2 linked regions of the Arabidopsis thaliana genome follow. The protein of the gene in region 2 interacts with the protein of the main gene of each other region in a pairwise test. Each region holds a gene or a part of one and is shown on either strand. Other genes may lie near its edges.

Region 1 (16,747 bases), on a different chromosome or scaffold from region 2:
GATTATTGTTCGAAAGTTCCAAACTTTACACCAAGAAATAAATTTTGAACATGAATAGGCTCGAGAAATGATATAAATCTCAAAACCCTAATAAAGAAGAATAGCAAAACGGATCAAAGCAAGAACAAATTTCTGAAGAACAAAACAATGGAGAAACTAGATAAAACCCATAAACCAGCAAATCAAGTTGAAAATCAAGATTAAAACTCCATACATACCGATCAAATCCTTTTCCACAGCAGAAACAACTAAAAATTTGCATCTTTGAACAAACCCAGAAACAAAACAAAAAAATCTCTCAAATTCAGCTCCTTTAGCTCTACACGCTTCCTCGTTGATGCAGAGAGAGTAAAGGTAACGCCTTTTTCCTGAAGAATGTAACAGCAAAGCAAGAAAAACGAAACTCCTTTGATGCTTAATGAGAGAGAGAGTCGCTTTTACTTCTGTAAGAAGAGAAACAAATTTTCTTAGAATATTCTTCAATGCTTAACCCCTTTTTGAATGTGGTTGTGTGTGTTTAGCTGTTTTAATTTGAAAAAAATTATACACTTTATTAAACTATTAGTGGGAATGATTGTGCATATCCACACATAGTCACATATAGTATTTATATAGTAATAATTTCATCAAAAGGTATTGTTTTTTGAATTTCAAAGATTTCCTTTTCATGGCCTGTTGATGACACATGACAACTAATCAAAGTTTCCTAATCACACACCTCACCTTGGTGAATCTGTACTTACAAAATCTTGCAATTTTTAATACATACAAAAGTTCAAATACTAGTTTTTTTTATTGTGTATGAAGAAGATCTCTAGATATGGAAATTTATTTGCTATAATCAGAACAAATATAAATTAAACATAGCATAAAATCTTAATTTAGATAGATTGTTAAATTACTCAGTGTGGTCAGAACAAAATGTTAGGCTCTTATCATAAATTTCTGTTTCTAAACTTACTACCAGCCTTTAACCAAAACAGGTCCAACTAATCATGAGCTGGTTAATTCATTGTCCCAGTATTGAATAAGGTTTACCTAAATCCAGTTATTTCTTTTTTCATATCATGAATAAACAACCACTGTTTTAAATATAAATCAAATAATAATTAAATACAACTTTGGAAATATTATATTATATAGAGAGGCCCAATAAAAGAGTATGTTGAAGCCCAAACAAGTTATATAACATATCTAAAGGCCCATTTTATACAACAAACATTCAAATCAAAGAAACGGTGCGGTTTACCGTTTGGCTGAATCAAGCACACACCAAACACATCTAGTCATTTACAATCTGAAACAGCTTTCAATAAACAATGATATTGATTTGGCATTTTGACTTAAATGCAAACTACTTTAGTTTCATCACAGTAGAGTAATCTCTATAGCTCTAAGCTAGAGATATCGTAAGAAGAGAACAATCTAGTTTCTAGTATAAAACTGTAGTCTGACAAGAAATTTGCTTTACTTGGAAGAATATTTCCTCTGTATATATACACAAACGTGTAGAGGAGTTTTCATCAATCATCATCATCATCACCACACCAATCTAACTAATACTATTTGAAGCGTGAACCCTTCTTCCCTTTACCATTACCTTTGCTGCCTCTTCCTTGTAAAGCCGAAGCCCAAAAGAAGAGAGAGATCCAAATTAGTACTGAAAGAAAGATCTTTACACGGTCTTGAATCATCGACGCTACTCCCACAAGACCTACACAAAATGTGATACCAAACAACAACTATGAATCCAAATTGTTAAGAAGATTGCTCTCGTATTGCAACCAATGACTAAACCTGTAGGGAAAAGAAAATGGTGGAACTTTTGGAAGACATTCACAAGTTGTAAAAGGAGGAGATTTATAAATCCTTAATGCTTAACAAGAGTAAAAGTCTATAAATTGTCACAAAGATCAAAACTTTAGCAATGAACAGTAATCGATCTTGAGGACTAAGATTAACATCTTTATCTACGAATCAATAGCAGTTAAACCACCTTCATTCTCCTAATTCGAATTCCGTAATGCAATTTCATCGAATTAGGAAAGATTGAAAAATAGAATTGGCAGTAAACAAAATCAGAACTCAGAGTTGAAACATTGAAGTTTTAAGGGTAAGAAGGGAAAGACGAACTTGTGAGCTCAGTCGTGTTTTTAGGCGGAGGTGGGTCGGGACTAGGCGGCGTTGGAGGGCCGAGAGGAGCGACCGCGATGCGTCGTACAGGTTTTGGAGTGGGGACGAGGAAAAGGGTCTGAGAAGGAAGTGGAGACGACCGGAACGGTGAAAAGAACGACGGAGATGGAAGAGGATGGTTTTTACGGCAGCGATGGAGGTAAAGGTTGGAGCTTGAAGTCGTGTTGGCAAACGCCGTCGCCATTTTCTTCACAAGGTATTTTGGACCTTGTTTTGTTTTCTCATTATTTTAATTTTAATTTATGTATACATTATCAAAAAAATGTTTTTGGTTTTTTCCTTCTTAATACCAAACTAAAAGAAGGAAAATGAAATATTTTCTATAATTTTCCACAAACTATTGAAATATCATGCATTTTTGTTTAACATAAATATTGTGTTTTCTTGACGACAAAAAAAAAAAATATTGTGTTTTCTTTAAAGAAACTGAACTCTGACAATACACTAAAATACTGTACTTATTAATAAATAAATAATTTAATGTATAACATAACTTGTCTATAAAGAAAAATATTTCATAGTATAGTATAGCAAATCCACAATTATTAATACAAAATTTACAAATAAAATTTTGATATGAGGTACAAAAATGGACTTCTTGTTTAATATATCAACATTTTTGTGTTCATGACGTGAATTAGCAATTTACTCCATTGAGCCATTCGCATAGAAAACATAAAAGGGACACAACATTTGCTGCTTCTTTTAATTAATTTTGGCTTCTTTCTTTTGCGAAAATTAACTATGCTGAATAACAATTTATTCCATTCTCATTACAAACACAAAACTGGTTCATTCTTTGCTTGTTCAATTAGTCTATAATGTATTTTCTAGCTTCTTTTGTTTGCGCAAATGAACTAAGTTAATTAGCAACTTAATAACTGATTCCATTCGCATAAACATAAAAAAGGTACAACATTAATTTGCTTAGTCCATCAAAGAACACAAAAACGACACCGTATCTCTTCTACTCAACAGAAATCTCCTGAACATTCTTCTTTGGCTTCTCCGTCCTAGGAATCACAAGATTAAGCACACCATTCTTGAGCTCCGCCTTAATGTCCTCAACCTTAGCATCATCAGGCAACGATAAGCTCGTGTTGTAGTAACCATAACTCTTTGAAGACCAGTACTCGTCTTCCTCAGGTGAGCCTTTCTCTTCCTCCGCCTTGTGATCTCCTTTAATCGTCAAGATTCCATCATTTACCGTGATCTTCACGTCTTCTTTGGTTAGCCCTGGAACCTCGTATCTGAGCTTGTAACAGTCGTCTTGCTCTTTCACTTGACCCATTAGTTGGAATGGATTCACGTTGAAGTTGTCGAAAATTCTGTTCATATTCTCTGTTGCTTGTATCAGAGTATTTCCTATAGTCGGAGGAAAGAACTCTGTTTTAAGAAGAAGAAAAAATTCAATTCAAGCAAAAATAGAGGTTTACATTAATTATGTTTCATGAGATTTAATGCAATGAAAATGTAAATTTAAAATTTGATGTATTTTTATGATTCTAGAATTTCAAATTTTCTTCTTAATTTTTCTTTTATGGGATATATTTTACACTTAAATGTTGAATTTTTTTTATATAATTTATTTCGAAAATATTATTATTGTGACACTATTGAAATTTTCTGCTAAATAGGTATATCAATAATGAACTAAAATGACAAACGTACCATTTAGGGTGGGAGTGAAGTAGCCATGATCGTCGGTGTTACGCCAGAGGCTTTTTCGGCCACGTCTCCGGGGGAAATTCTGTCGAGGAGATTTCTTCTCAGACACACTCACTTCTGTGTTCATCTTATCCTCTTGTTCACCAGCCGAAGTAGCCATGAATCTGTTTAGCTTCATTGGATTATGTCGATTTCCGACCAAACCTCTTTCACAAGATTGACCCATCAAACTAGGAGACAGTTTTTGTTGAAGGTTTCTCAAAGCCAGACGAGCTAGAGCCATTGTTTTCAAATCGGTAAATTTCTTAATTTTTGTCTTCTTGTCTTCTTTTTTGTGAGTTTGCAAGAAAAAGGCAAGAAGTGTTTGGTTTATAAAGATGGGATTAGGGTTTATGCTAAAAGGTTGGTTTCTAAGAGGTGTTAGAAGTTTCTAAGAGTTTCTGGTTCATTTGGGAACATAAAACAGAGATGCTTCTTGTTTCTTCTACAGCCCTTTTTCTAGATAATCACAACAAGGTTATTTTATTATCAATATTTGTTTTCTTTGAATAGTTAAAACGAAGAAAATCATGACACAAGACCAACCGCCTTGACCTTGCAATTCCTAGAAAGTAGAAAGACCCAAAATCTTTCAAATTATTCTTGAAATTTGTTTTTGGATAACTTATTTCAACAAAACTAACAACATAATTAATATAAATATAGTCATATGGATTTTGGTTTTGTGTTAAGAACATTAAATGAATGTCAAACAATTGTGTCGATCAATATTTTATCAAAAACAAAAAAAAACAATTGTTTCGATCCAAACTTCTAATGGTAACTCTGTCCCCAATCTTTTTTTATAAATCAACTCTGCAACATATGTGGGTTGCTAACTTGTTATACAATTATACATTTTTTTTGTTTTTCTACTAAAATGACTTTTTAATTATTGACGGTTCATACTTAACAAGCAACTGAGTCACAAACATATATATCATAACCATTAATAAATTGTAAACGAGGTGGTAATATAGGAAATTTGAATATTTGTACAACATCCAGATTCTTCCGCAGGTCTCTCTTTGCTAAGGTAATAATGTTTTACAACTCATAGAACTTTATAAATCAACTTTGAAAAAAATATGTGGGTTGTGTCGCTAGACCGGCACAAAAATCTTAGGCGATGAATCATTGGTTTGAATCGAAAAATTAATTACGTTAGACACCCGTTTCCTCCGTGAGTTTGTACTACTATGTTTTTATTTGTACTACTATATGTTTTTAGTATTATTGATGATTACTAATTATTTTATTCTGTGTAATAAAATTAATTTAAACCTATTTGATATTGTTTAATACTTATATTTTGCTTATGATTTGCTCATATACATTTTTTAAATTCTTTTATTCTTTTATTATGAAAATGTATCTTTAGTCACTAGCCTTTTAATTTTCTTCTCTTTTCTTGTTATGGAACCCTTTTTCTTCCTTTTTTATTTTGGCTTTTTAAAAAAAAATCTTTTTGGCTATTTCAGGTTTGCTTGATGAAATATATGTTTTTAAAAAAAAATATTATATTTTTCTTAGAAGTAAACTGAATCTAAACGAATCTAAACATATCGAACCTGTGACATCTACTGTCCCTTGAACACAATAGTTCAAGAGACAGTAGATGTCACAGATACGACGTCTTTTAAGTTGTTTAGATTCGTTTTTGTAAAGTCTATCCATGTGGCATCCTAGTCAGCTACATTAACGGTTTAACTAACGGCATCTATTGATTTGTTGGTTTCAGCCATATTTTGATTGTTTATGTAGTAAATTCAAATTATAAGTTAGTTCATATAGTTAAAAGCATACTTCAAAGTTCTATGTATGGATACGATAAAGTAACTAAGTTTGGAGTGGAATAGACCGTTCTCCCGCTCTTTTGCAGCCTACTTTGAGATGAATATAAACCACAGCATGATGATGAAAACCATCGCCATCCACAAGCTTGCGGTGTCTTGAAGGCCGGCCGGAACATAAAACCCAGCGAATAGATGCTTTTTTTTTTTTTTTTTTTTGTAAACAGCAAATAGATGCTTTAGACAGCAAATTTTATATGTATTTTAAAGGACATCAAATTTTATGGAACGTCTTATAATCTATTGGTTTTCTGTGCTTTGAAGGTAGAAAGTGATTGGTTCGATCCTTGGTAATCGAAAATATTAAAACAGTTTTCTATTTTTATTTGTTGTAAATGGACATCAAATTTTGTTGAGCTTTAAACATGATTAGTCTTTGGACCGACTCTGACCACGAATGACAAATTCAAAAATCATAATCAAGTAGGCTATGTGTCAAGCAACTACAATTACCCCGCATGTCAAAGCCTACTTTGAGATGAATATAAACCACAGCATGATGATGAAAACCATCGCTATCCACAAGCTTGCGGTGTCTTGAAGGCCGGCCGGAACATAAAACCCAGCAAATAGATGCTTTTTTTTTTTTTTTTGTAAACAGCAAATAGATGCTTTAGACAGCAAATTTTATATATATTTTAAAAGACATCAAATTTTATGAAACGTCTTATAATCTATTGGTTTTCTGTGCTTTGAAGGTAGAAAGTGATTGGTTCGATCCTTGGTAATCGAAAATATTAAAACAATTTTCTATTTTTATTTGTTGTAAATGGACATCAAATTTTGTTGAGCTTTAAACATGATTAGTCTTTGGACCGACTCTGACCACGAATGACAAATTCAAAAATCATAATCAAGTAGGCTATGTGTCAAGCAACTACAATTACCCCGCATGTCAAAGCCCATTTCCATAAACAAGCCGTCACAACAAAAACGCCAACTATCAAGATTGCTTCCAAAGCGATCAAAAGATTCCTCCATGCCGATTGAAAAGTTATTCTTTCATCTTATTTATCAGAACTGAAATATAGATATAACCGGTTTGGATCCTCTATTTGTACGCTCACAAATAACACAAATTAGTAAAAGTTTTGCCTTTCATTTTGATGACAAGCTATTAATTAAAGGGATGAAATGAAAATAATAGTGCAAAGGCACGAACCATGCTTTCGGTTTGCAACTACAATCTACTTTGTTATTTAAAAACCGTTTCTGATTTTCTCTAAGAACAGAAATGGGACCGGTTACGACCAAAAAAGCCCATGTGTCCAGAGTATTGTCGAATTATTAGCTTTTGGACCGACCTTATCCATCTTTGGACCGTTGTTGGCTTTTAAGTGCCCTCTCAGTGTTTTTGTTTTATTCTCCTTTACATTTAACCAAATTAAATACTTCAAAAACTAATTGTAAGTTAGGTTACGGTTAGTAGGTAAGCTTCTGGTGAGAAAAAAAGAAATAGCTAATTAGTAATACATTATTTCTCCCGATTGTGTCAATAAGTTTCGAACAAGATTGTCCAAATTACTTCCAAAACACTGTGAACGATTTTTATTTAGTTTGGTATACATAACTTAAAAAAATCAGTGATATATGAATATGAAGCCGATTAGTTTTGAAATTTAGCATAGTTAATTACAATAATTTAGTCAAAATATTAGACAAGAAACGTATAATTTTCGATTGGACCGTCACGTGGTTTTGGCGGTTAGCAATTTGGACCGCCGGTTTGTTTCGTTTACAGACTACACAGTGACCCATTATGGTTTGTTCCGGTTCACCAAACCCCACATGTGGCTAGACTTGAGTTAAAAATTGGTATTGGTCAAAATATGGCTTCTTGTCCAGGAGTCTTGTATTTTTCTGCCTCAATATATACAAGAAACACTCGATTTTGTAAAGAATACTAATTACTAACAATTGATCATTCACATGTCTCATGTGTTATCTGTTGAAGCCCTAATCTTTTTATATGGTAAATGTTATGCTAAAGACTAAAGTTGTATCACTGATTATGTGTGCATGTCTACTTGTCTAGTCGTTGGTCGAATATTCGAAATATATACAATCATGCTTACACTATTCTTCACTTTATGCAAAACATTGATTAGATATATAAAAAAGCCATAATAATATTGTAAAACTTTTATTAAATTTTTATATGTTATAAACGACAAAAAAACAGTATTTGGTAAGACTTTAGAGTGATAACACTTGATCGTGAAGTTTTCGACGTTATAACTAGAATTTTGGACTCTTAACAAGAATTTTATAATATCTTGATGGTTCCACAAACATAAAATCATATCTCTATACAAAGATTCTCAAATTTGATAGCATTAATTTAATTTTTCTGATAACAGTATTTTTTTTTCTTTTCTTAAGTCTTAATCTTGATTAAAAACATAATTTCGCTGATTTTTAACCTTTTAAACATATAAAAATATGTTTTTTCATGTGGGAGAAAAGTTATAATAATCAAATGTAGAAAGAGTCTTTTAAATTTCTTACTCTTTTCTTGTCGCTAAAAACTCTATTTAGTATTTTTCACATGTCAATCACCTAAAATTACATACAGAGAATCATCCGAAAAGCTAATTGTGATTATCTACAATAATTAATTATAATTACTTTTCTTTTCATTTCTACATTTTCATAGTTGCTGGTAAAGAAGAAAAGGAAAAAAAGTCAATAGGAGCACTGAATTCGATGATCTCTGTCTCTAAGAATCCCATTGTACAATGCAATCCGGTTAGCAGGCATGTCGTTTCTACAAACCGAACCGGTTTTCTCAGGTTTAATCATCTGTTCCGGTACAATTCGCCGAAGACTCTTCTTACGATACTCTTCACCGTTACCTTTCGTCTCTTTCACATTCTCTGCAAATTTCACTTTCTTCTTCTTATTCTTCCTCTGTTTCTTCTTTTCCTCTGCATCAAAAATTATTCTTAGCCGGAGGATGATCGGAGAAGAAAGATCGGAAAAGGGTACCTGAAGAAAGACAAGAACGGAGGATTTGTTGATCTGATGTCTGATTTCCAGAAAATTGGCGGGAAATCGCAAGAAACAGAGCAGTGCTTGAGAAAACCATGGCGGTTGCGATCACGACGCCATGAGAACAGCTTAGTATACAAGTCATAGTGTTTGAAAGATAAAAGATTCAGAAGAGAAAGAGAGAAAGAGAAAGTTTCTGATGAATGATGAATATGTGTGTGTTGAAAAAAAGAGAAGCATGTGTTATGTTGCAGAGAGATTTTTCGTACTTGTACCACAAGAGAGTACTGTTTGAAGTTGAACGGTGAGAGATCTCTCTTGTCAATAAGAATTTAAGAAGAAAGTTTTTTATTTATTTGAGAAATGAGTTTGTGAGAAATTAGCAAAAAATGTTTTCTGACAATAATAGAAAAGTTGGAAGTTATTTTGTGTGCTGTACTCTGTTGGAAAAAGTTAAAGAGGGAGTTGGTGTGTAAAAAGATTGGTGTTTGGTTTAAGTCACAGGCTCAAAAATCAAGTGGAAATTGGGAAAAAAAACTTCTTTCATAGTTGAATCTTGACTGTCTTTAGTCTCTGACCATATTTATAACTAGATTCAGTGTCTAGAGTTGTTATGAATAAGAGTAAGATAAAGAGAAATATTTTATAACTTTTGTCAACAAATATGATCAAATTTCCCACCATAATTAAATATGAAATACCTTAGAATAGCACTAAAACATTATATAATTGTTTTCATTGATCAATACATTTAAGTAGTAGAGATAAGAGTAGAAATTTTACCAAAAAATTGTTTAAAAAATAAAAAATCATAGTTAATTTAATTATTTTTCCTTCCAAAAAATTTACTAAGCTTCATGTTGACAATCATAGTTTAAAAGATTGGTAAGAAAGCTAGGACAAGAGTGATACATACAACATCCATTGCTTTTTGCAAATTATGGTCTTTTAACCACACTTATTTAGAAACAAAAATTAAAGTAAAAAATGCAGAAGCACTATCTTTCTTAATAGTTGTTAAATACTATACTTTGGTGCAAATTATTTGTGTTTATCTTTTAAAAGGTAAGGAAATAACTTTAACTAAATATTAATTCAGAACTTGAACGTATCTATTAAATTAAAAATTGGTTTATGCACGTGGTTTAATTTTACTTTTCAATCATTTCTTATGAATGATTGCCAGATTGTTGTCTATTTTTGAAAAAATCAAAGGGGAATATGAAAAATTCACAGCTGTATAAACAATACAAGATAATATTAGTAGTAAATTATGGAGAGTATTTATATTTATTTATGTTTGAAAGTTTTTGTTTTCTTTTTGAAAAAAATATGTTTGCATGTTTACGCGTTTAATACAAATAACTAAAAATCAGGGAGATAAAAATTGTGATGAAGAGAAATATAAGAAGGACAAGGCATTGAGTGAGAGAGATTCTAAAGAGTTCAATGAATCTCTTCCACAAATCTCTATCATTCAACATGATCCAGAACCTTGGTGTTTACGTGAACATGGGCTTTTGCCACGTGTCTTGTTTCAAAACCTAATATTGCCGCGTTTTGTACATAAAAACCTAATCAAATACGGTACGAACATGTTTTGCATGAGATTGAAAAGAGTACTAACTAGCCAATTATAGAAGCCAACATGTAACTCTTTCGAAACTTCTTCAATTGTTTGACTGTGATATAGAAGACTAGACCAACTTCTCTTTCTCTTTCTTTTACCCAAAAAAAAAGACTTTCTTATCTATATTTGTTTCCTTGTTCTACATAACTTTCAACATGAATGATTATATATAAGTAATTTGTGGAGAAACTGTTGGAATTAATTAGAGTTAAATAAAATTTTTGTAATTGTAACCAACTCATGATGGTCGAGACTTTTTAGTGGTTGAAGGATTCATTCTAAGTATCTAACGCGTTAGAGGAGTTGGAGTTTTCCCACTGCAATTCAAATCACGATTCTAATACTATTTCTTTAACAAAAAAAAAAAAAAAGTTACAAGGTTTAGTCTTGTTTTGGTTTGAGATTCCTCGGTTAACAAAAAAGGAGTTTGTAATTTCGATGAGAGTTTTTCTTTTAGTCGTTTTTCTATACGAATAATTTAATTTTGCAATTTATGTATCACAAATTATATACTTATAGTATATTATAGTATATAATTTGTGATACATAAATTGCAAAATTAAATTATTCGTATAGATTCAAGAAGCTATCATTTTACGGCTAGTTGTATTTTAAACACAAACTACTTAAGAGAGAGACATCACAAGAAGTTAAGGTCTTAAAGTTTTGATAGAACGTAAAGAAGAAAGAGATCGTCACATGGTTGCTTGACTTTGATGGACTAAATAACGTCAACCACACATGTTAACTAAATTTCTTCCTTTTATATGTTCACACTTATCCAAGATTAGTGATGTTTCTGGTACGCCAAAAATTTGTGGACTTCCCTAATCCAGTTATGTCAAAATCGGATTTATTTTTCTGAGCTTTTGGAAAAAATCATAATCAGGTGAGGTCCAATCTGATACATGTATAGTACCCATCTTACCGGAAACGGGCCAAGTAGGATCGAATAAATCCATTAAACCTGTCTTTGTTCCTTTTGCATATAGTGGTTAACCAAAGAGATAGACTGATCCATAACATTTCAAGATTTGACAGTCTCCAAACATTGTAAATCAATTTTAGTTGAACCGATTGTGTCAGAACGAGACCGGACTAACCCATCAGAACATGCATATATGATATATCTATGAATATTAATATGATTTTCGTAATTTTAATATGCATGTTCAAATGTTTGGGGGTATGAGCCTTCAGATACCTCGTGGAACCAAATCCCCCAAACTTCAGATTGAAAGATGGTACCTCGTGGAACCAAATGTTTGGGAGTATGAGCCTTCAGATACCTCGTGGAGAGACTCCACAACAAACATTTCAATCTTGTGTTCGAGTGGAACTCTTTCGGATAGGTAGACGACTTCGTCTACAAAGTAAGTCATGGAGCATTCGTGCCACACAACTTGTAGTCACCATAACAGGAAATGTCCTCAAGGTTGAAAGATGGTATAGAGCTAGGGATCGATCCTTGTCCTTCGGGGTTTTCAAGGTTTATTCATCAGGATTCCTCAAGAAACCAGAACGGATTTATTCTCCAAAGTTCAATGGTTCTTACCAAGTTTCACTCATACATGATGTTGATCTCAACAATGTTTTTTATATATAAAAAAATCATTATATATTTTAATGATGATCTCAGTTTATATTTTTGGAAAACGATCTATTTCACCCTTACAAGTTTCACATAGCATAAAATATGATTAATAGATAAATTCATTGAGTTTAACAGTAATTAGCAACAAAACAAGTATCAAAACGGACAAACGAAACAACTACTAAATATTCTCTTCTTTCTGAATCGTCAGTAGCCGAATGAAAAACCAAAACCAAGAAAAAATAACTTATTAGGCTCTAAATAGGATAGGGCTAATGGTTTTGTAACTTATTCAGCAAAAGAAAGAGGATAAAATGTTATTTATTACCCATAATTACTGCCACTGAGCTTAGGTTGTAAGAATTGGAGGCATGTAATCAGATTTGACACCGAGGATACGAGCTTTTGTGTCGGGAAAGAATTCACATCCGGGAAGCTCAGTGATGTTCCCTTCACTAGCAATACCGATCGGGTAGCGAAGTAGATGACCAGGAAGATCATGTTCAAGTGACTCACTTGAGTAAAGATCCCAATACTTATCAGCAACACGGTTGACTTTCTGGATACATTCTTGGCTCGATGGATCGAGGAATGTTTCATCGAGCATTCCTAAATGTTCATACCATAAAGACATGCGGAATCCATGGATTTGACCTCGAGCTGGTTGTCTTGTTGAGAGATGATATGGTTGATAGCCTCCCATTGCTATCTCTGAGTCTCTTGCACCATCCATTGACCTCTGGTTGATATTTGCTGATCCGATTATAATGTACTCATCGTCAACTGCGAAAATTTTGATGTTGAATCATTTGGTTAGTATTGAAAAGTTATAAATTATGTAAATGTTATAAAACACTCACCTATCATCATTTTAGTGTGAACATAGATCATGAAGCGGCGTGCTTCTTGTGCTCGGATATAGTCAGTGTCCGGTTCAGGTTTCTCTGAAGGCTCATACTCTCCATCTTTCTTGACCTCTCGGTTACCGAGGCAGAAGAATGTCAGATAATCTCGCGGATCCTCTCCCTCAAGTCCATTTTCTCTAAGTGCCTTGATTACATCTTTGTACATCATCTCCATTGTTCTTTTCTGCCAATCTAATATAGCTTGGACTGATCCACTCTCAGGAATCCCTTCAGGCCACATTGGAACAACAACATAGACCTTAAACTTCTCTCCTGCTTTGATTTTGCTAACAATCTTCAAAGATAGCTCCTTCGGAATCAGATGCAGAGCATTGATTTCCTCTGGTTTGATTCCATCCGCGCTCCAAGCAAAAGAGCTTCCAAGGAAGTACTGGTTTTCGATATAGATGAAGTCTTTAGCTCGTCTAATCGCGTGAATGTAAGCATCTTGAATACTCCTATCAATTATATTATCTTTTCCACTCACAAGACCTGCTTCCGCTGCAGCTTCAGGGGAGTCAGGAAATCCAGCAGCTGCTCCACCATCAATGGATCTAAACAACTGAACATTCCACACGTCATGATCCTCTGAGAACAGAACGGGAGAAGGCGGGATGATAATATCTCCGAGTTCTCTCATTTTAACCAAAATATCTTTACCGCCTTGTCTACTCCATCTCTGCTCAAAATTATACAAGACATCCCAAGCAATAGGTCCTTCAAGACGACAATGAATATCATGCCATGGCTCTCTAGGACCACCTTTGGTTATCGCAGCGCCAGTGAAATTCGGTTGATGGAAGTCATCGTGATGGGCAGTGTCCAACGTTCTAAACAAGGAGTGAAACGGAGTGTCATATCTTCCATCACAAAGATCAAGACCACCAACAAAACTCACTATTCTTCTGGATCTTGATCCTCCACTCGGCATTTCACTGTCTACAACAACAATCTTTTGGTGATGAGTGAACATAGTTGAGATTTGCAAGTTTTGGACAATGCTTCCACCATCATCAGGGTTACGAGGACACAAAATACAGTTCACGTCGGTTCCTCTGAAAAAATTCTCAGTTTCCTCATCATGAGTAGCCATAAGTCCATCTTTTTTCAGCAAATCAACTGATGTTCTGTCATCCCAAACAAGCAAAATAACCTTAACACCTTCACTAGCTTTCTTCTTGAGTAGCTCACCAACAGTCACATCTCCTCCTTGTTTTGGCCTCCTCGAGTCCCTCACTAAAGAAATCTCAGTGTAAACAGACCAACCAGTAATGTAAATCAAGTGTTTAGCATTAGTAATTGCATCGAAAATATCCTCCCAACATCGATGTGGCTCGTAGTTTTTCCCTCCCGCAAGAGGGATTTTCGGGACAAAGTTTCCAGGGATATGAGCATCTTGATACAAAGAAACTTTGCAGCCTCTCCTCTGAGAGAAGAATGTGTAAGGAACTCCTGGAAACTTAGCACTTTTGATACCACGATTCCAGTTTTTATCCTTTTCAACACCGAAATATTGGAGTTTCACATGGATCTTTGATCCTCCAGCAATTGGGTTTTTCTCATTATCTAAGATATCAACCCATCTATCAACTTCTTCTCCATGCAAAATATCTTCCACAGGAATATAACCTCTTCCGATCAACGTCGCGCCAATCGGATTAGCATCCTTAACAGTGAAAATAACATGTTTAGCCATGTGACCACAGTAAATATGAAAAGACTCAAACCACTTTGGGTTTTTTGGCTCCTTTGTTATTTTCCTCGTTCTTCCAACTCTTGCTTTCTCAAGATCGATTGTAGCGTAAAGCTGAGTTTCTCCTTTGCCAACACCGATTGTTTCTTCTACATTTGCTAGTATCTGGAAAGATTAAAAACAGAACATTAAAGACAGATTGAAGGAAACCTTTTGTTGTTGTATCTCTAAACAACTTATAAATGAGAGAGAGACAAAAGACAATACCGATCCTAAGAAACCTGATCTACCTCCTTCAGCATGGAGATGATCAACTTCGTAGATTGTCGCGTGCAATCTTCCATGTAACAAACACTCTTCCATTTTTTCTTCCCGCCTGTAACATCATAACAATATTAGTAAAACTCATACATTAGATTACCAAAATACGTAAATTCACATTTTACAGATCCTGTAAACAATATTTTTCGTTTAAAAATGTAAAGTAAATTTATGTGCAGGGAGAGACGAATCTACAAGCTAAAGTCATTAACCGTAATCAGTGTCCGAGGAAACAGAAGAAACTCTAAATCTCAAGTAACTGATCTCCATCAAAACAAAATCGAATCACAGAAACAGTTTGAGAGGCAAGCAAAACACTGAGAAATTACATACTGCAATCATATAACGAATGTTTAAACTTTAACCAAAGTATTTATGAGTTTCATAAACATTTTATACACCCACTTGCTTCACAACAAGAATACCAGAAACCAGACGATATGTGATCTCCAAGATAAACGTTTTAAAAAGGAAAAAGATCTGCAGAGAAGAGGAAGAAGAGAGAAAACGAAACTACCTGCAAAATTTCTCAGAGATTGAGAGAGAAGCTTGTTTGGAAGAATTCAGGTTTGATCCGAGAAGGAAGCTACTTTGTGTGTGTAGCTGCTGAATGTTTTTGTGATATTAATAGAAGATGAAGCAAAAAAAAACAAAAAACTGGCTTTGAGTTTAAGACTATTGCTACGTGTCCAAATGACCGAGATTACTGATTAACGATGATACTAAAATCGCTCTCAAAAATTCCTTAATGATTGTAAATCGGTCACAGAAAAAAATAACTAAAAATAGATTAATGTTGGCAAGCATTTTAATTATTGCAGACAACATACACATGAGAATTACATTTCCAGGTATATCAATGGTTTTTTTTTTTTTAATTTCCAACCTGGTTTTGATAGGAATCTGTTTGGTACCAAACAGATTTACCGAACATAACTGCCTAATGTAATTAAAAAAAGAGAGAGAGCGAGGGAGAGAGAGAAAGTAAAAGCTCTTACTTTGGCCACAAGATAGTCCGGATCTCTCTCTCAGCTTCACAATTTTCCCCAAGTTTATCGGTCCAATCTAATCCTCAAACCTCAACCAAAAAGCTAACGAGCAAACGCGCGTGATACTCTTTTCCAGAAATGGGGAAGAGACCGCCGATTCCACCAGATATCGAAAACGGACCACCACCACCAGCGCGACCACATTTTCGCCCGCCCATTCCCGTGCCATGGGTTGCGTGGCTTGTGCCTCTCATTTTAGCAGCCAACTTCGTCACATTCGCTACCACCATGTATGTGAACGATTGCCCTGCAAGATCAGATGAGTGTCTCTTATTTGATGTCCTTGGAAGGCTTTCGTTTCAACCGATTAAGGAGAATATGCTACTCGGTCCTTCTATTCCCACGTAAGGAAGGATTTCTTGATTCCATAATGGTTTTTTTCTCTCCGGTTAGAACAAGGAATCTATTAAAAACTGGTTCAATACTTACAGAATGCATCTTTGTTGTTGATTCAGGCTGAGAAAACTCGGAGCTCTCGAAAGGAGACTTGTGGAGGAAGGTGAGAGATGGCGTCTCATCTCTTGCATATGGCTTCATGGTGGTTTCCTTCACTTGATGGCTAACATGATCAGCCTCATGTGTATCGGAATGCGCCTTGAACAAGAATTTGGATTCAGTAAGACCCTTTAAACCCCTCTATTTTCCGTCTCCTGAATTTTCTGTGATCTGATTTAAGAGTTTGGTGTTACAGTGAGAATCGGAGCTTTGTATGTGATCTCCGGGCTTGGAGGAAGCCTGGTGTCTTGCTTAACAGATTCCCAAGGAGAACGGGTATCAGTCGGAGCATCTGGTGCTTTGTTCGGATTACTCG
Region 2 (17,433 bases):
TTAGTGATCTCTCTACGTATAAACATAATAATGACATCGCGCATTAGACCGTTCGACGGTAGCGGTGTTCTTATTTTTTCTTAGTCGATTTAAGAACATTCAGCATTATAAATTTATAATAAACTATATCTAATTTATTATAACATAAAAAATGAAATAAGACGTTTTTTGTATTTAAATTCTTGCATGAGAAAATCAGTTGGAAATATTAAGAACGGTCAACTCCTATTGACTATGAGTCAATGCCGCATTGCGGCAAAATTGCCACTTGCTTTGCTTTCTTTCGTTTTGCATTTCTGATAACGAACAGCGTGTCGGTTGTGTTCAAAAACAGCACGTAGTGGTAATATGAGGCCCAGAGTTCGACGATTAATATTTGGGCTGAACATTAGAGGCCTATGAACTGACATTTCCAAAATGATATCACATGAAAAATTGAAACATCTATTTCTAAACATCTTTCCTTTTTTTTTTCATCATCTCTAAACATCTTTCCTAAACAAACGAAGTAAGTAAAATCTTATTGAAATGTTTTTTCACCACACAAAAACAAAATTAGCTTTTTTTGTTATAATTTTCACATTTAATTTAATTTTAATTTATATTGATATTAAATAAATATAAAATGATACAAATAAATTTTGGGATGGTATTTTACACGAATATACAAAGGAATCTCATGATTATATTTTTAGTAATGATACAATGAGATTTTGCGTTATAAAATAATTGTTCCAACTTTTTCACATAATATACAGTTTAGATTACACTATTTAAATATTCGGTACTTAGACACTTTCTATTAAAAATTAGGTTGGAGATTCCTTCGGATCACAAAGCTAGCGGCTGCAACTTTCATCATATGCTTTCCACTTTTCACGACGTTTTTGTCGTTTTCTTGATTTTACTTTATTTAATGTAGTAGTTTATACGGGTTATATTAGTCAATATAATCAAGAATATGCACTAATGAATTCATTTTTGACATTAATGAAAAATATTCTAAAAATATACAAGTTATGTAAATGTGGATTAATCCCTTAATCTTAACACAAAACAATTGAGACAAAAAAAATCGATAATTATTAATCTTACCACAAAATATCAGATGTCTAGAAAATCAGAGTTTTTGAAAAAGAAATCTGATTCTAATCCAACCAATTATACGTGGACTGCGTTCGACCAAGATCTTCAAAGTACATAAAAATATATATTAAAAATTAAGCCAAAAATAAAAACAGAAAGGAGGCAAGAAGTGTGGATGTCTCCTTCTTTCCCGCAGACTGTAACAAAAAGGTTTGGGGACATTTCTTGGACATAATTATTCCCTATTTCTTTAATTAAATATATTATATATTTATAGATATGTCAACATTTTCTTCACAAAAAGATAGTTTTCACATTTAGACTTACTTTCAAATCTTATGATCATGTCCTTTACTTTCCTATCAATTTCCATTTTCTTAATAACATTATTCTTTAATTTCGTGTTCTTAATTATAGCCAAAAATCTCCAATTCACGTGAAATTGTGGTATATACTTTTCTGTCAAAAATTGATATAACAAAGAAAGGAATATTTACAAAGTGGTGAGAACGACTAACAATAGGATTAATTATCGTCTAACTCGAGTTTATTTTTTGAAATATATTTTGTCCCGGTGATAATATCATTTTGGGATCATATTTATATTTTCTCTCTACGAAAATATTCCACCTCGGACCAAAATGTCTAACCCATCCTTCTTGTGATGAATGATAAGGAAGATATTGTATAACCCCCATATTAGCATCCTCACAAAACTTCAGTATTTCCATGTTTTCTTGATCAAAAGCCTCCCAATTGTCAAAACCCGCGGATCTTAAAAACCCTACCGCATAAAATACATCTTCCTCGGGTATAGCGGCAGACATCCGATCATTCCACCTAAAAACGCCGCATAAAATTAGCTTGTAAGAATATTTCGGATTCCAAAACGAAAATGTAGATAGTAAATTTTGCAATATCGAGTTAAACTTACTTGTTGCGATTCATAGGATAAACAAGAACAGGACCGCTAGTGATGTTATTTCTTAGGATAATACCCTTAAAAACACCATCATCAAATTTGGAGATTTGAGTTTTTGGTACGAAGAGATTAAGCCATGGATGTGGAACATCCCATTGGCCTTTGGATTTCAGGTTTAGCTCTCCGGTTCGAACTCGGTTTAGGAAATCCATATACGTCACATCTTTCTCGTACATAAACCCTCTTACATGGTTTAAACTATCGCTTAACTCCTCCATTTCCTGCATAAGTTAAATAACTAAAGTAAATTAATATAATTGAATAATGCATAAAGATCTCCCAATTATACATGTATGATTTATGATTGTATGTATGTACGGACCTCGTTGACTGTGTATTGAGAAGTTTCGTCGTAATACTTGACGACTTCAAGGCAGTAGATGACACGATGTCGTTTGACCATTGAGGCGATCCTCAAGTGATCGGACGGTGGATAATACGTGGATCTCCAGTTATCCGGTGGGCCATGGTCCACCATAATGGAACCTTCTAAGAAATCTACACCGTCCGTTTTCGATATCACTCGTTCTTGATCTCTTGTGAATTCGGAGAAATCTATGTATAGAAACCTTAACCACTTGGCCTACAAAAATCCAAAAATGCATATATGTTCATTCATAAATTTCATAGAATTTTCTGTAGTTGCATAATTTACAAATTTAACATACCCTTTTCGGAGCTACTTCAAGTTTAATTCTGGCTCTTGTTATAATGCCGAATTGACCCAAACCTCCTAACACCGCGAAGAAAAGATCCGAGTTCATGTCCTTGGAACAAGTTGCAATCTCTCCTTTTCCTATAAAATAAAATTTGACCCCATTAGGAAAAGTTTAGTAAGTAAACTATTTCAACAAACTTGGACCGTTATGTAAGAATATACAAAGACTAACACAATTAATTGATACAACAATGCAACGAGTTTGAAATAAAACTATTCTCTTCTGTACTTGTTTTGAGCCTAGAGTGCTAAAGTCGGTATCATTAAATTATGTTTATCTCCTAACCAAAAAATGGAACTTGAAAGTCTTCGTAATCTAACTACACTTGAGACCAACAGTGTAATGTATATGGATGCATATGTGGACATAATGGATACAGCTATAATAAGAAAATTGACTGTTACTTAATCCATTACACCTGGTTAGGACCAAACGTTATGAACTTTTGAGTTTTGTCCTTACGCCACAAGAAACCTCGTGTAAAATCATGGGCGTGGGACCATTTTTTTTTTGGTTGTTTTTTTTTAGTCTATGAATGGAGGCAGCGGACAAAGCGGTCTAATTTATCTGCGGTTTAGTCCATTTCATTTTTGAGGCGGACAATAAACCGTTGCGCACCATGTTTATTTGTATGTAAAAACGGTATGGAATTGGTCCGCTGCGGTTTTCTTCTATTTTTTTTACCCCAAACCACTGCGGAATATAATTGATGAATGGTAAATAAAAAACGGTCTGATCTATTGACGGTTGTGTCCGCCCCAACCGCCGTAACCATTCAAACCCTTAATTGTCTGTTTGTTCACCGGGTTATATGAACAGTTTTATAATATATGACCATGTAAATTTCGCAGAAATTTGACTTCGAATCCACGAAATTTGCATAATTTGAGTAAGAAATATAGAACATAATTATTCAAAAAAAAAAGTTTAGTTGGTTAAACGTGTAATATACTAATGTGTTACTAAATAAATCGCGTTTTAACAAAACTATATACTATTTTTTTTAATAAACTAACAAAACTACACGTAATGTATACTACCAAAATTTCTTTGTTTCACGATTTTAATGATGAAATAATCTGTTGTTAAAACACCAAGAATATTGATTAATCTTCTATTGCTAGATCGACCTTTGCATTAATATCAAGTTTATAATCTTAGACCAACCACCAATTTTGCTTATCAAAAAATAAAAAAACCAATATTTTTTTAATGCGTCTACGTTTACAACCACCTATTTTTACCTAGTCCGTATCTTCTTTCTAATCTTAAGACCAAAAAAGGTGATTAGATTGATGTGTGAAAAGAAGAAAAGCTATCAACAAGTTCGAGAAATAAATAAACAGAGACAAACAATACAAACAAACAATAGCATAACCAAAAATGGCCGCGCAGATCTAAAATGAAAAAGACGAAAAAACTTCGAAAAACGTACGAAGTTCTTTGTTGTCTATCAGAAACGTACGAAGTTAAAATCACTATTACTGTTTTTTTTAATCTCTGTGTGAAAAAGATCGTGGTACGTACCAGTAATAACATCCATCTCTAGAACATTAGTGATCTGTGGACCGTACCGAAACGTTTGTCCACTAATTCCGCCGTTTGATAACGTCCCACCGACTGTTAAATACAAATAATCCGTCCAAGAAACCGGCGTTAACCCTAACTCCAAAGTTTTATTCAACACCTCAATCCATAGCCACGCAGCGTCCACGTCAACATATAAACAGGTCCTAGACACCTTGATACCTCGATCCCGGTTTACCATGGACCGCATGTTGACCACAACTCCGTCTTTAGCCGAGGCTTGGCCACGGTGGCTGTGTCCGTGACCACGAGCGGCTAAAGGAAAAGACAGTTGAGAGTCAAAAGAGAGTTTTATGAGATCTGTGATGTCTTCAACGGAGGAAGGGATTAAGACGGCGGAAGGGAAGATTTTGGTGACGTGGCCGAAATCTGTGGCGGCTGATTCGACGGAGGAGGAGGAGGAGGTGAGTTTTCCGGCGAATTCGTTGTGTGAAAGGATATTCCATGGTTGTGGTGATGTGTTGGTTGTGATCGGAGTTGAGAGAGTAATGATGATTACTATTGTTATTGCTATAAGACGAACTTGTGAACGAAGATTATAACTCGCCATTTTTTTTGAGAAATAAGTCTTTTTATTTTATGAATAGCTTGATTCTTATCAATGAAGAGTAGTAGCTGTATATATATAGACACGCATGCAGACACATGTATTGTACGGATTTTTTGTTTTTTGTTTGTGTAAAAAAAAATGAAAAATCAGTGAGCAAGCTAGTATCTTCTCTGTATATAACTAGTAACTACTAATTATTGAAGAGTTTAGATTATTTGAAACAAATTATTTTGTTTTAACTAAATTTTATTTTCTGTATATTCCTATAATAAAAAAATTCAGTTGACCCGAGTAAAGTAGATAGCTGATATAATAATTATACAATTCCGTATTTAAAAGAGTATGTATGATATAAGTTCTGTATGACACGATACGCGTTCATGTTTTTGTTAATTTATTACAAAAATTTACAATGAATGATCAAAGTCACGTGAGAATCTAATTAGCAAACCACTGGTTTCAAACTTTCAATAGACCACAAAAGCAATAGTTGTAACTGTCTGAACACGCACGGTGTCGCTCACTAGTTAAATGGTTCTGCATAAATATTCCACGGTCCATTTTGTACATTACTACATTAATAGTTTCTGTAGTATTGTAGTAATTTCTCATATTGTGACTCAAAGAGGTTTTGCAGTTGAGGTTAAGCAAAAAAAAATGTAGCTTCTTTTGATATTCAGATTATGCAGTTTGGATCCTATGAATAGATATCCATGTTAATGTTTCACAAACTATATAGAGTAATCAAATGTATATAAGTCTATCAATATTATAGATGAAACTAATTAATTGATTAACTGATATAATAGCTAAAACTAACATAATGTTGTAATGTATCATCATTCCCACCACCACCATAATCATCACTGTAACCGTGATTAGTTGTGAAATAGCAAAAAAAAAAAATGAGCATGTACCATAATCATCATGGGGATTGGAGATTGGCCTTAGATCACCATATACGATATTTCCCCACGGACAATAAATCTTGACCCTTGGATTGATCACACTTATATTAGAACTTGGCTAGGTTTTTTGTGAGAGTTAAACTTGACTCGAATTCTTCCATCTGCATGTAAATAAGAGTAAATGATGTTTTTAAAATAATAACAAGAAGAAATTTGAGTTTACAATTTTTTAAATAATTTCTGGGTTTATCTAATCAAAAACTTAATACACATATAGTATGTAAACTTCAACAACATCAGCTAGTTTTATTTTCTTCTTCCTACCTGTTGAATATATTTTACGATCTTGTTGTAAACAATCGGACCTATAATACTTTACATATATTAATGTTCTTTTTGAAGAATATTTCTCATTAATATCCCTACTAGATGATGTTTCCTTGTCACAATTAGGTCATCATCAAAAGAATCTACAAGATCTGCTTCTTCTGAGGTCTGAATAATTTATTTAATTTCCTTCCTCGCGACTATCGAAAAGTGCCGATAATTCTAATAAATTAACAATCGTAGGCCAAACTTTGTAGATTCGTAATTAATCATTGTGCCGTAAATAAACGATAAAAAGCAAGACATGGAATATCCTCAAGATTTTGTTCTGTTTGCTTCTTTTGCCACATGTTAACTTGTTGTCGCTGCAATTTTTTTTTATCTTTTACTAATGAATTGAACTTAAGCAATTATAAAAAAAAAACACTCCAATTCCATTTGCTATAACAAAAATTAGAATTTAGACAGAATATTATTAAGCAACTGGAATTTAACTCGTGGTATACCACAGGGCAAATATTTTATTTTTATAAATAATATTATTAAATTTTAAGATTTTAGTTTAATATTAAAATTATATAATTTATATTAATATTATAATTAAAAAATTTGGTGATGATAAAATAATAAAATAAATATTGAATCTGTGTTTCTAAAACAGTCCTGCTATATTTCATATCAATCCAAATCCGTCATGCTATATTTTTCGTCTCATGATATTTTTTTTTTTATAAGTTTAAATATTAGTTGTGGAATTAATTTTGATTATGATTTTATACCGAAAAAGTTATGGACTATTAATTCTATGGAATATTCAAACCAAAATAAAGAATGTTTTTAGGTGCACATATAATTGGGTTTGCTCATTTTCCGGGATCGTAAATGTATTTTTTGGTTTGTTTCACATTTGTTTTAATTTATTGCCGAAATTTAATACAAATAATTCAAATAGTTCAAATTTTGGTTGTTTTAAGATTTAGTAAATATTGTAGGTAAAATAAGGAAAAGTTAAATTATTGTGTTTTGCGTGACATATGGGATTGCCATATATTTAGAATCTTTTTGGTTTGTTACACAATTAATTGTCGTATAAAAATTCAAACCATTAATTAAAAAAAATCAAATAATTTAAATCCATTGGCAGCCATTGTAAATAAGTTCTAACTTTAAGATTTATTTCATAAAATGGATATAAAAATGTATATGTAGATCCTACAAATAAATCTATTATCTAACTATAAAAATTCACGTCCAAAAAAATACATCATAGCCAGGCCTGATCATAGGTATAAAATTAGGGGGATTTAGCAATTCTAAAATTAATCTATTATCTAACAAAATTGGATATTTATAATTTAACAAAAAAAAAAAAAAAAAAAAATTGATATTCATAAACTACTATTATAGAAAATAATTTATTCTTTTGCCAAATCCTTCTTTCTGATTGAATGAATAATTTTATGGATTAAATGTTGTATGTATAAGATAAACAATAAGACGTTGTACCCGGACAGCAAAACCGTGCTAAACGCACGTGTAGTTGTCATTTTCCCATCTTTATAACTTCATGTCGCGAAAAATAATAATTTAAGAACGATAACTTGAGAAAATAGAGTATAGACTATGAACAAAACGACCATTGATTAACGGTGCTAAACAAAGTATTTATAAATAAAAATGACATTCATTATGACCCCCCAATAAGGTGGCCCCGTAATTGGAACTTGACAATTTAGAAGATCTTCACTCGATTGTTTTTCTTTTTATTGTCAGCGACCTTTACTTCAGTTTTATTATCTTAAAACAAACTAAAGATTTGCCCAAAAAAAAAAAACTAAAGATAAAAAGACAAATCATTAAAATTTGGTTGAGCTGTATACGTTTGTAATAATGGAACTGGATTGGAGAGAAAATCAAAAAGAAGGAATTAGTTTACATGTATATGTATAAATGTTTATTTTTTCTTTTAAATATAATTTAATATTAGATTCAAAAGAAAAAAGGAATTAGGGTAATGATTTCAATTCGTGGGCACATTTTGTTATATTCGTATCTCTTTGTATTTAATTAAATAAGTACTACTATTTGAGTTGTCTTAAACCTTTATTTGGCCATGCATCATCATGCTCCATATATGTTCCCTTCGTTTATATTATTATCCATTCATCATTATAAGATTCAAGACGCATGTGCGCCGCACCTCATAAGTAATGTACTTTTCTTGATAAATGGGTTGGCGAAAGATATGGATTCTCATAATTGGCAAATTTTATTGCGATCTAAGTAAATTTAGAGCTTCCTTTAGGAGGTTTAACTTCTTTCGGGCTTGAGCAAAAAAAATCATTTTAACTAGTAGTATTGGTTGTGAAACTTTTGGGTCTGATATATAATTAAGAACTTAGCGTGTGCAAGAAATTAATTTATCGAAATATTAATTAACCAAAAACTTGTTATTATAATAAAAAGATATATGTATTGTGTAGCTATAGAGACACTCTATACAATTACAAGAGACACATATATAGACGATGCATGTTTTCACGTGAGTGAAAATTTCTAGATAAATTGATTGCTGTATGCGTCGTATTATAACATCATTCATTGAATCTTTTGAAATTCGTATCATCTTTAGTATTAATAAGTACTTGCATTAGTAATTTTGAAAGCCAGATTTAGATTAGAGTTTAAGTGGGAGTGGAACTAAGCAACTGTATGATATGGCTTACGTCACATATTATTGAATGTATGATATATATATACCAGTGTATAGATAGGATCAAAAACATTATAAGATTTTTAAATAAACCCAACTAAAGATGTTTAAACTTTCTACTTAGCTTATTTACCAAATTACGTGCCAAATACCAAAGTATAGAAACAAGTCATTCCGACAACCACGTTTTCAAAATTAAGTACAACAGCAGATGGTCACAGCCGACCAAGTTGACGACAATACATACAAAAGCAAGTATTGAAACACGTAACAAAATGTTATACGTATCTCAGAAAATAAAGGTATACGCATATACATTTTTAGTTTTAGATAGAGAAACGTAACTACTAAACGGAGAGTTAAAAATTCAAAGTGATGTAGAAGTATGCATGGTAGCGATCTAAAAATTCACAACATTTTATATTTTATTATTTTAGTAACTGATATTTCATTAATATAGACATAATATCATCAAGATACAAAACTGAAGATATATGGTTCATGCTAGAGGGAGCATGTGATCTACATATTGGTGAAAGCCATTAATTGATTTGAATTTCTTATATGGTGAGAGTAAAATTAAAATCTATATATTACTAGTTTACTAGTTTCAAGAAACAAGAAGAAACTGAGTTGTGAAGTAACATACTTAAAATGTGATGTGGATGTGGTAATTTAGTCCATACGATTATAATAATTTGGTTTGGTAATAAAAGGAAAAAGGAAAGTGAAAGTGGGGACTAAGGAGATTCATGCAAATCTTCGTAGGGATTCTAAGTATAGTGGACCACTTCTTCGTTGTACATAGTTTTCATTGAAATGGTTTATAGCAAAATATCCATTTAAAAGTCGAAATATCTATTAACGTACTAATATTATTATATAATATTCAGATATCTATATTTATTTTAAAATGATAAACGTTTGTTCGAACATATTCTTATGTTGTATACGCTAATTTGGATGTGATTTGATAAAACTGAAGATACATAATTATTGTTCGAACAATTAGTGTGGTTGATGAAATGGTTGGTAGAAAACTAATTGGAAAAGTAGCGATGGTTTAAGATTTACTCTCTACTAACTCTAAATCGTCAATATCTCAAGCAAAATGTTGCTACTGTTTCGGATCGCTTGATCTCTGATTTCAAAGCCCTGAAAATTATGGTTAACTTGGCTAAACAATTGTTTCTGAATCATTACATACAACTCTTTATTAACAAAAAAAACAAACAAATATCGGACTAAAACCATTGACTCTAACGATAGTTCTCACGGAAAAGTATTGCATATCTCAGTCAACGAATAAAGAATACTTAACGATCATATATATAACATGGGGTGTCTAAATCTGAAATGTTTCGCGTACATCCACGAAGAAAATACATACATGACACATTACACATACAACAAATGACATATATGTCTTTGTATACGGATACAATCAAACAGTCATGGACATGATAAAGACGAGACACGTAAGACATGCTTTATACGATAGTGAAATCTGTCGGAAGAGAATGTGACATTAATTAGACATTGGCAGGATCCTACAACAAGATCAACTCGATCTTCGACCAAATCAAAGTGTCTTAGAGATAAAACAGGTAAGATTTTGAAGAAAATGGTTATAAAGGAATCTTAAATGTGGGTCCAAGATCTTGGAAATTTCCTCACAGCTCTTTTCTATGAAACAAAGATTAATCACTTGGATTCTCTGCCATTATTCATATCTTTCGATCTCTCTTTTTTGTTTTCTAATCTTTTGACGGACGTGATTGATTTGGTACGATAAACTTTCTCACACTCTTATCGTAAAAAACAATAAAATGTCTAATCTTGAAATTTGAAAAAATTATAAATTTAACTTTGATAAGTTCAATCGGTTAATTATTTTTTCTTTGGGTTTTATCGTCATTTGAGAGACATATGCCATCAATCAAAACATATGCTTTAGAAACTGTAAAATAAAATTCAAATCAAAAGCTAAGTTTCTAAGATATGAAAAGAATGAAAAGTAAGCGTAATGGCTAAGTTTATTTTTATCAGTTATGCTTGAACTTTAAATTCGGGTCATTTTTGTTCTTTAATTTGGTTTGTTTTGTCAAACAAGAATAGATGCTTTGATACAGTGACGTATTATCTTTTTAGAGTTCTCTAAAGTCAAGTGGGAGAGTGTACGTAATCCGGCCTATGAATGTCCGATCGAATATTATCTTCTCAGCTTTCCAATGTGTAGCCCCACAAAATCTAACAAACATCGAGAACCGGGAATATGACGTAACCGGACATCCCGAGTCCCGACATTTTCGTACCGGTTTTTGGTTTTATTCCTGGTACAGTTTGTATTGTCCCCAAGCGATCCTTTCCTGTCCTCTTTCATATAAAAACAACCGTATTTAGGGTTGAAAGGCTTAAAAAGTGTACGTAAGTTAAATGGGCTATGGCCTAGATTTCTGTAACTCTCTATGTTGTGATTGGGCCTTCTACTATTAGCCCGTTACTTTGATATCAGTATCTAGAAAGTTATGATTATGCCGTTCGAAAAATAAAGAAAGGAATTATATTAAGTAGATATGTCTGAGCCCGGGTTCGAACCGGGGACCTCTAGTGTGTGAGACTAGCGTGATAACCGACTACACCACCCAGACTTTGATACTTAGTTTAACAAGAGAAGTATATTGATTCGGTCATTTAACAAATTGTTTTCATTTTCTCATCCAAGTTGAAACTTGAAAAAAGAATCGAGGAAAATAACAATGGATAAACCTTAAATGATGGTAGTAGCAACAACAACGGAAGAAGACATTAATCTTTTTTTTTTAAAGTAATTTGTAAGTTTTATTCTTTTTTGAAAGCATCATGAAGAAAATACTTGAGTGTTGGTTAGAGAGGAAACATATTTTTAAAATAGTAAGAAAGGAAATCGAAGTTGAATTGAAAGTTTGACATTGTTTTGTTAAACAGAAAAAAAACGTAACCTAAAGAGATAGGGATGAATGTGATGATTATGACGAGGATTAATTTAATCAGGAGATGACCGAAAAAGTCTTTTTCGAGCCACGAATAAAACATAAAAAATTTCAGGTCTGAATTTCGTGGCCAAGAATGGTTTGATGGATTTGATTCGGATCACTAAAATTCTAAAGTCTATATTACAACGCCTTATCTTACAAGTTTGGATTCGTTGAAATAATTCCAAGTCTATCACATAGTCTATGAAAATATAATAACGTATTACAAAAATGAAACTAGATGCATGATTAACAAAATTTCTTGAAAAAAAAATTCACTACTAAAACAAGTACTTCGACACGTAACTTATATTAAAACAAATAGAACTGATTGATGACATTGTTTTTATTGCGGTGTTTCCATAACGTTAAAAAACTTAAAAATGTGATTTCAAGTCGTGACTAGACCATATCAAATGTTTTGTTTTTGGTTTTAATTTTCTACTTAAACGTTGCTTGTTGTAATACTGAGTTATAAAAAATTGAAGTTTTGAATCAGTATCTGATCTTATCGGCTTTCAATTATCCATTCAGTGAACATTACGTTCGGTAATGGAATATACATATGTATTAAATGAATCATTTAATGTTCTTAAACTTAACCTTATACTTTAATGTTTATAAAAGTATAAACATGACAAGAGTGTTAATGATATTTTGCTTTTGCTTATAGAAAAAGCAAAGTAATTATAGCTCCCCTAAACATCATTTATAAAGCTTAAAATAATTTCTTGTTAAATAAATAGTTTCATTTTATTTGTATTGCTAAATACTAATTGTTGACATTTTGCAATCACATGTACATGCATAAATTGAATTATAATATTGGTCAGTCGTCCACTTATAATATTTTCATTAACAGTTTCACGTATAATCTAAAAGTATATATGATACAAAATAGGAAGTATATCTGTATATGTACAAAAATATTCAAATAGAACTCTTAATATAATCTGTATCATGGCACGAACAATTTTGCCTAGAAAATTTTAAATAAATAGAATAAACCAACCTGAAAATAGGGCAGAAAATAGGAAACGTGTACCAAACATCTCGAAAAAATTGCCAAGTGAATGAATGATCATTAGAATTAAGACGCAAAACAACGTCCTAGATCCAATTTTAACGCCACACATACTTCGCTAAGCAACTACGTTTTTTTCTTTCTTGTCTCTTTATGAACTAAACAATAACAAATTCACATTAACTAATTAATAAATTACTTAAATATCCTCAAACATACAGGGATATTATCGGTAATTCAGATAATGTCCACTCCTGTCTCCTACGTGAAAAACGGCGGCAAACAAAACCGCGAGCCAGACATCGGCGAGGAATACAATAATCACCGGCGACGGAGACGGCTTCAATGGGCCTTAAGCATCTCCTTGTACCTCAGAATCGAATCGAGTCTCTGTAATTTCAGCTGCTGTTTGAATTTGTTGATGAAATCTGAAGCTTTCGCGTCGACGCCATCTTCGCCGTCGCCGAAAGACGTCGATCTTTCGACTCTCGTTGTATCTGGTCTTCTCCGTTCGAGGGATTCCACCGTCTCCGGCGCTTCCGCATGGCTTCCTGCGAAACCAAAACCTGATTTCTCGCTAGCCGATTTTGTCATCTTCGTTAAAGCTTTCTTCTTCTTCTTCACCGGTTTTTTCGATTCCGATTTGCTTCGTACATGCTTGTGCTCCTCGTGAAGAACCGGATCCGGATTTTGTTTTTGATCCAAATCCGGGTCGGATCTGTAGAAGGAGGATAGCTTAATGGATTTGACCCGTTCTAAGATAGACGGAGCTCGAGTTAAACCGGGCGGGTTAATTTGACTGTTCACTCCGGTTCCGGTTGGTTGATCTTCTTCCGGGATTCTGAATTTTGAGATATCAATCGGGTCAACCCGACCCATCCGGGTCGGAATACTTTCGAATCGGGTCGGTTCTGTGTGATGAGCATAATCATTCTCCTCCGGGTTATACTGCTGGAATTTGAAGTATGACATGTTGATGGATTTGACCCGATCCAGAAGAGAAGGAGCTCGTTGTAACGGTGCCGGAGCCGGATCCGGGTGTAAATCTAGGTGGGAGTGGGAGTGGGAGTGAGGATCCGACCCGGTTACGTCGTGTGGGAACTTGAAATAAGACATGTTGATAGATTTGACCCGATCCAAAAGAGAAGGAGCACGTTGTAACGGAGCCGGATTTGGATCCGGGTAAACATGAAGATCCGACCCGATTATGTCGTGGTGAGCTGTCATCGAGAAAAGCTCAGTTTCTGGATGAGGAAATTTGTAGAGATGAAAATTGATGGACTTGACTCGGTCGATAATCGATGGAGCTCTAGCTAACGGAGCCGGAGCATGACCTGACCCGAATCCATCGTGATGCTGGTAATGTTTTCTTGAACCTGACCCGAGTCGAGAGGTTACGACGATTGTACCGATCATAAGATTAAGAAGGAGGAAAAGAGTCGTCGGAGTGAAAAAGCTCGCGACCGTCGTTAGTAACTCCATTTTTGGGTTGTGTTTTATGTTGGTTTTGTCGGAAGGAGAAATGAGCAAAAGGAGTATATTTATATTTGGATTTTGTTTTTTGTTTTTTTTGAGGTTTGCGTTTATTTATTTATTTTACTTCTTTTGTAAACTTTTTGACTGTTATTTATTTGGTCATTTGAAAATGGTTTTTTGTTTTGATTATGGAAACGTCGAAAGTATAGAGTTAATGTGTTCACATGAGACGCACGTGAATTTCTCTTTTCTTCTATTCATATTTCGTCCATATTATTAAATTTAAGGAAGTGATATTTTTTAGTATTATTCTGTGTGGAGTATAAGTTTTCAAGAACAGCTAATTATTAATCAGACTAATTTTATTATAGGTAACAAACCAGTTACAATTGTATTGATGATGACTCCGTGAAATAAAACACTACACGTTAATGCAAACTTTCCATTATACATAAAAATACGTACACAGTTGGAAAAAAATAAAACACTACACGTTAATGCAAACTTTCCATTATACATAAAAATACGTACACAGTTAGATTTTTCTTTGGCATTCGGGACGTGTGGACCAAGTCATCTCATCTTTTCAGAAATTTCATTATTGGTTGATATCAATTGAATACGACCGAAATTCAAGATCCGAACAAGACTAATTACCTTAAGTTTTGGTCTTGGCACAAATAAATTCTAGATTTTATGGGCATAAAATCACTTCTATACGCATAAAATGAATTGTATACAGTTAATATAAAAGCATCTTTGAATGCGGTAGATTAGTAATAAGAAGCTACGGTATAAATGTAATGGATAAGAGCTGGACACAAGTGAAATAGAGATGCTCTGTCTTTGACTGGAGAAAGTTATGTGTAGGGCTCATCGTACTGTTAAATCATATAAAGTTCCAAAATTATTGTCTCGTGAGACACCCGACCCATCTTAACATAGTGTGTTTAGACCACTCATTTCAACACGTTTTTCTCTGTAAAGCTTACAAATTGTAAGTACTAACTCTATTATTTACACATGTTTTACGTGTATAATTCTTCTGGCTTGACTTTAGGGTTCTCTGGGCTGGTCTCAAATTAAATGATTCTTGAGCTAAGCTACTTCTACTTGTAATTTGTACTATAGTATGTAAATGGTTGTCCTTTTATGTTGGTTGAGTTGAGACAATATAATATATACTGATTTTTATATATTCAATAACGCAATGCAATTTGAAAAGAAAAAAAATCTCACCCGGTGATGGTAAACCACGTATGTAGTGACTAAAGTCTAAACATATAATTATAAAAACCGGTTGGCATGTTAATATACAAAATTATTGAGTAACTATTTCGACTAGGGTAGTGTTTAAATATTGATGAAATTATCTTAGATATTTTGAACATTAGAAATATGGATTTATCGTTGATGCTTTTTTATGTAGAAAGTGTAGGATATGAATGTGAAGAGGTAACTTAAGTTAAAATACAATGACTAAAATTAAAAATACAATGACTAAAAACTGACTTCTAAATTTGATTTTTCTACTTTGAAATTAAAATATTACAGAAGAGAACATTTACTCAAAATGTGGAGTCGACGACATCGCGTGGGGGTGCTACCTGCTACACCGACCTTTTACGGTTGACTTTGATTTCTTAAACACATAGTTTGAAAATATTACTATAAAAATTGGTCCACTCGTAGCTACACGTCTCTCATTTTATTATTATTATTATTATTATTAAAAGTTATTGCATTTGCATACTTGCATGTAACTGGCTAGTGGCTACACCTACACCCACGTGGGTCGCCATAGCAGCATTTACTATAACGACGGATAACGAACAAAATATATGGACTTTATATGATTCATTCAGAAATTTTCATTTCATAGACTGTGACTTTTTCTTTTATGCATTATGACCTTATGAGGATGCATGGTCCAGCTTGAGTTATCTCTTGTGCGAGAATGGGTTATATATGTAATATGTAGAGCTGGATTTATAACTTTTTCGGTTCAGTCGGAGTTCTATATAGAATTTGAGAAGAGTGTTTTTGAATTAGGCGAAAAGTCATTTCGTTTTTAGGTGAATTGATTCGATTTGTGTCAATTGAGGTCGGTTCGAATGCATGTATCATTGGATTTTATTTTTCCATTGATAGTGACTTAGCTACTACTAGCTAGTCTACTAGAATCATCGGTTGCATAAAATTAGTTTAATATGTACATCATGATATCATCTAATAAAATAAAAAAATGAAATCATCTAATATGTACTATCCTTACGCATTTGCTAAATTTATTTCTAAAATGATATATTATATGGTTTAGAGTCCGTACGTGGATTGTATATGAACCATGAACATCAATTTGTAGGTAAGGTACTACGTAGTCTCGATTGGACTGACTAGTGACTACTTCGTCCCATGCTATAACAATATTTCTATTATTTTTTTATGACCTTTTTAAATTGACATTTGTCGTATTTTGTTACACAATTTTTTTTTAATGTTCACATAACCCCAATAAAAATGAGTTAAAACTTATCACATATATTTTCAAATATCTTATTGAAAAGTCATACGTAAACTTACTTACTTACAAGTGAACATATGAAAAAGGAAACAAAAAAACTTGATTAAAAGTGAACTTATAAGACGTAAGTCCACAACAAGGCCAGACATACACGATACGAACGGCCCATGGCCTCATCGCAAATCATTCATATGTACATTAGGTAGTAGACTAATTGTAGCATCTCATATTTTAGATTACAAAATTAAACATTGTTAGAAGTTGATATTTACATGTTAGAATATTGGAAGTTAAAGTTTTATACTCTTATATAACAAATGCTTTTAATTAGGAAGACAATTGGCAGTATCGACTAATCAACACACAAATTTCCTCAAAACAATGAATTTGTGTATACTCAAGTTTTTTTTAACAAACAAAAAAAATAGCTAGTCGGTTGCAAGTGTTGCTTGAACAGAAAGTTTCTCGTTGGAGACAATATGTACTTTTTGTTAAGAGTCGAATTCATGGCGTCGCATAGAAT

Evidence for each region.
Region 1: the proteins of AT5G56980 (region 2) and AT1G52550 interact in a protein complementation assay, tested with the Arabidopsis thaliana proteins (one large-scale study listed by BioGRID).

What each region holds. Positions count from the first base shown.
Region 1 is NC_003070.9:19,571,623-19,588,369, forward strand, and holds AT1G52550 (uncharacterized protein), read right to left. Parts: upstream 2,438-16,747; 5' UTR 2,378-2,437; coding exon 2,134-2,377; intron 1,715-2,133; coding exon 1,563-1,714; 3' UTR 1,133-1,562; downstream 1-1,132. Other genes in the region: AT1G52540 (Protein kinase superfamily protein), read right to left, coding at 219-262; AT1G52560 (HSP20-like chaperones superfamily protein), read right to left, coding at 3,161-3,579, 3,865-4,144; AT1G52565 (cytochrome P450 family protein), read right to left, coding at 8,439-8,680, 8,742-8,889; PLDALPHA2 (phospholipase D alpha 2), read right to left, coding at 12,318-12,751, 12,829-14,731, 14,834-14,929; RBL5 (RHOMBOID-like protein 5), read left to right, coding at 16,015-16,280, 16,392-16,552, 16,628-16,747.
Region 2 is NC_003076.8:23,043,322-23,060,754, forward strand, and holds AT5G56980 (cotton fiber protein), read right to left. Parts: upstream 14,422-17,433; 5' UTR 14,393-14,421; coding exon 13,253-14,392; coding exon of another isoform or gene 13,155-13,252; 3' UTR 12,759-13,154; downstream 1-12,758. Other genes in the region: CKX3 (cytokinin oxidase 3), read right to left, coding at 1,623-1,926, 2,021-2,289, 2,391-2,651, 2,737-2,864, 4,315-4,924; AT5G56985 (uncharacterized protein), read left to right, coding at 13,155-13,583.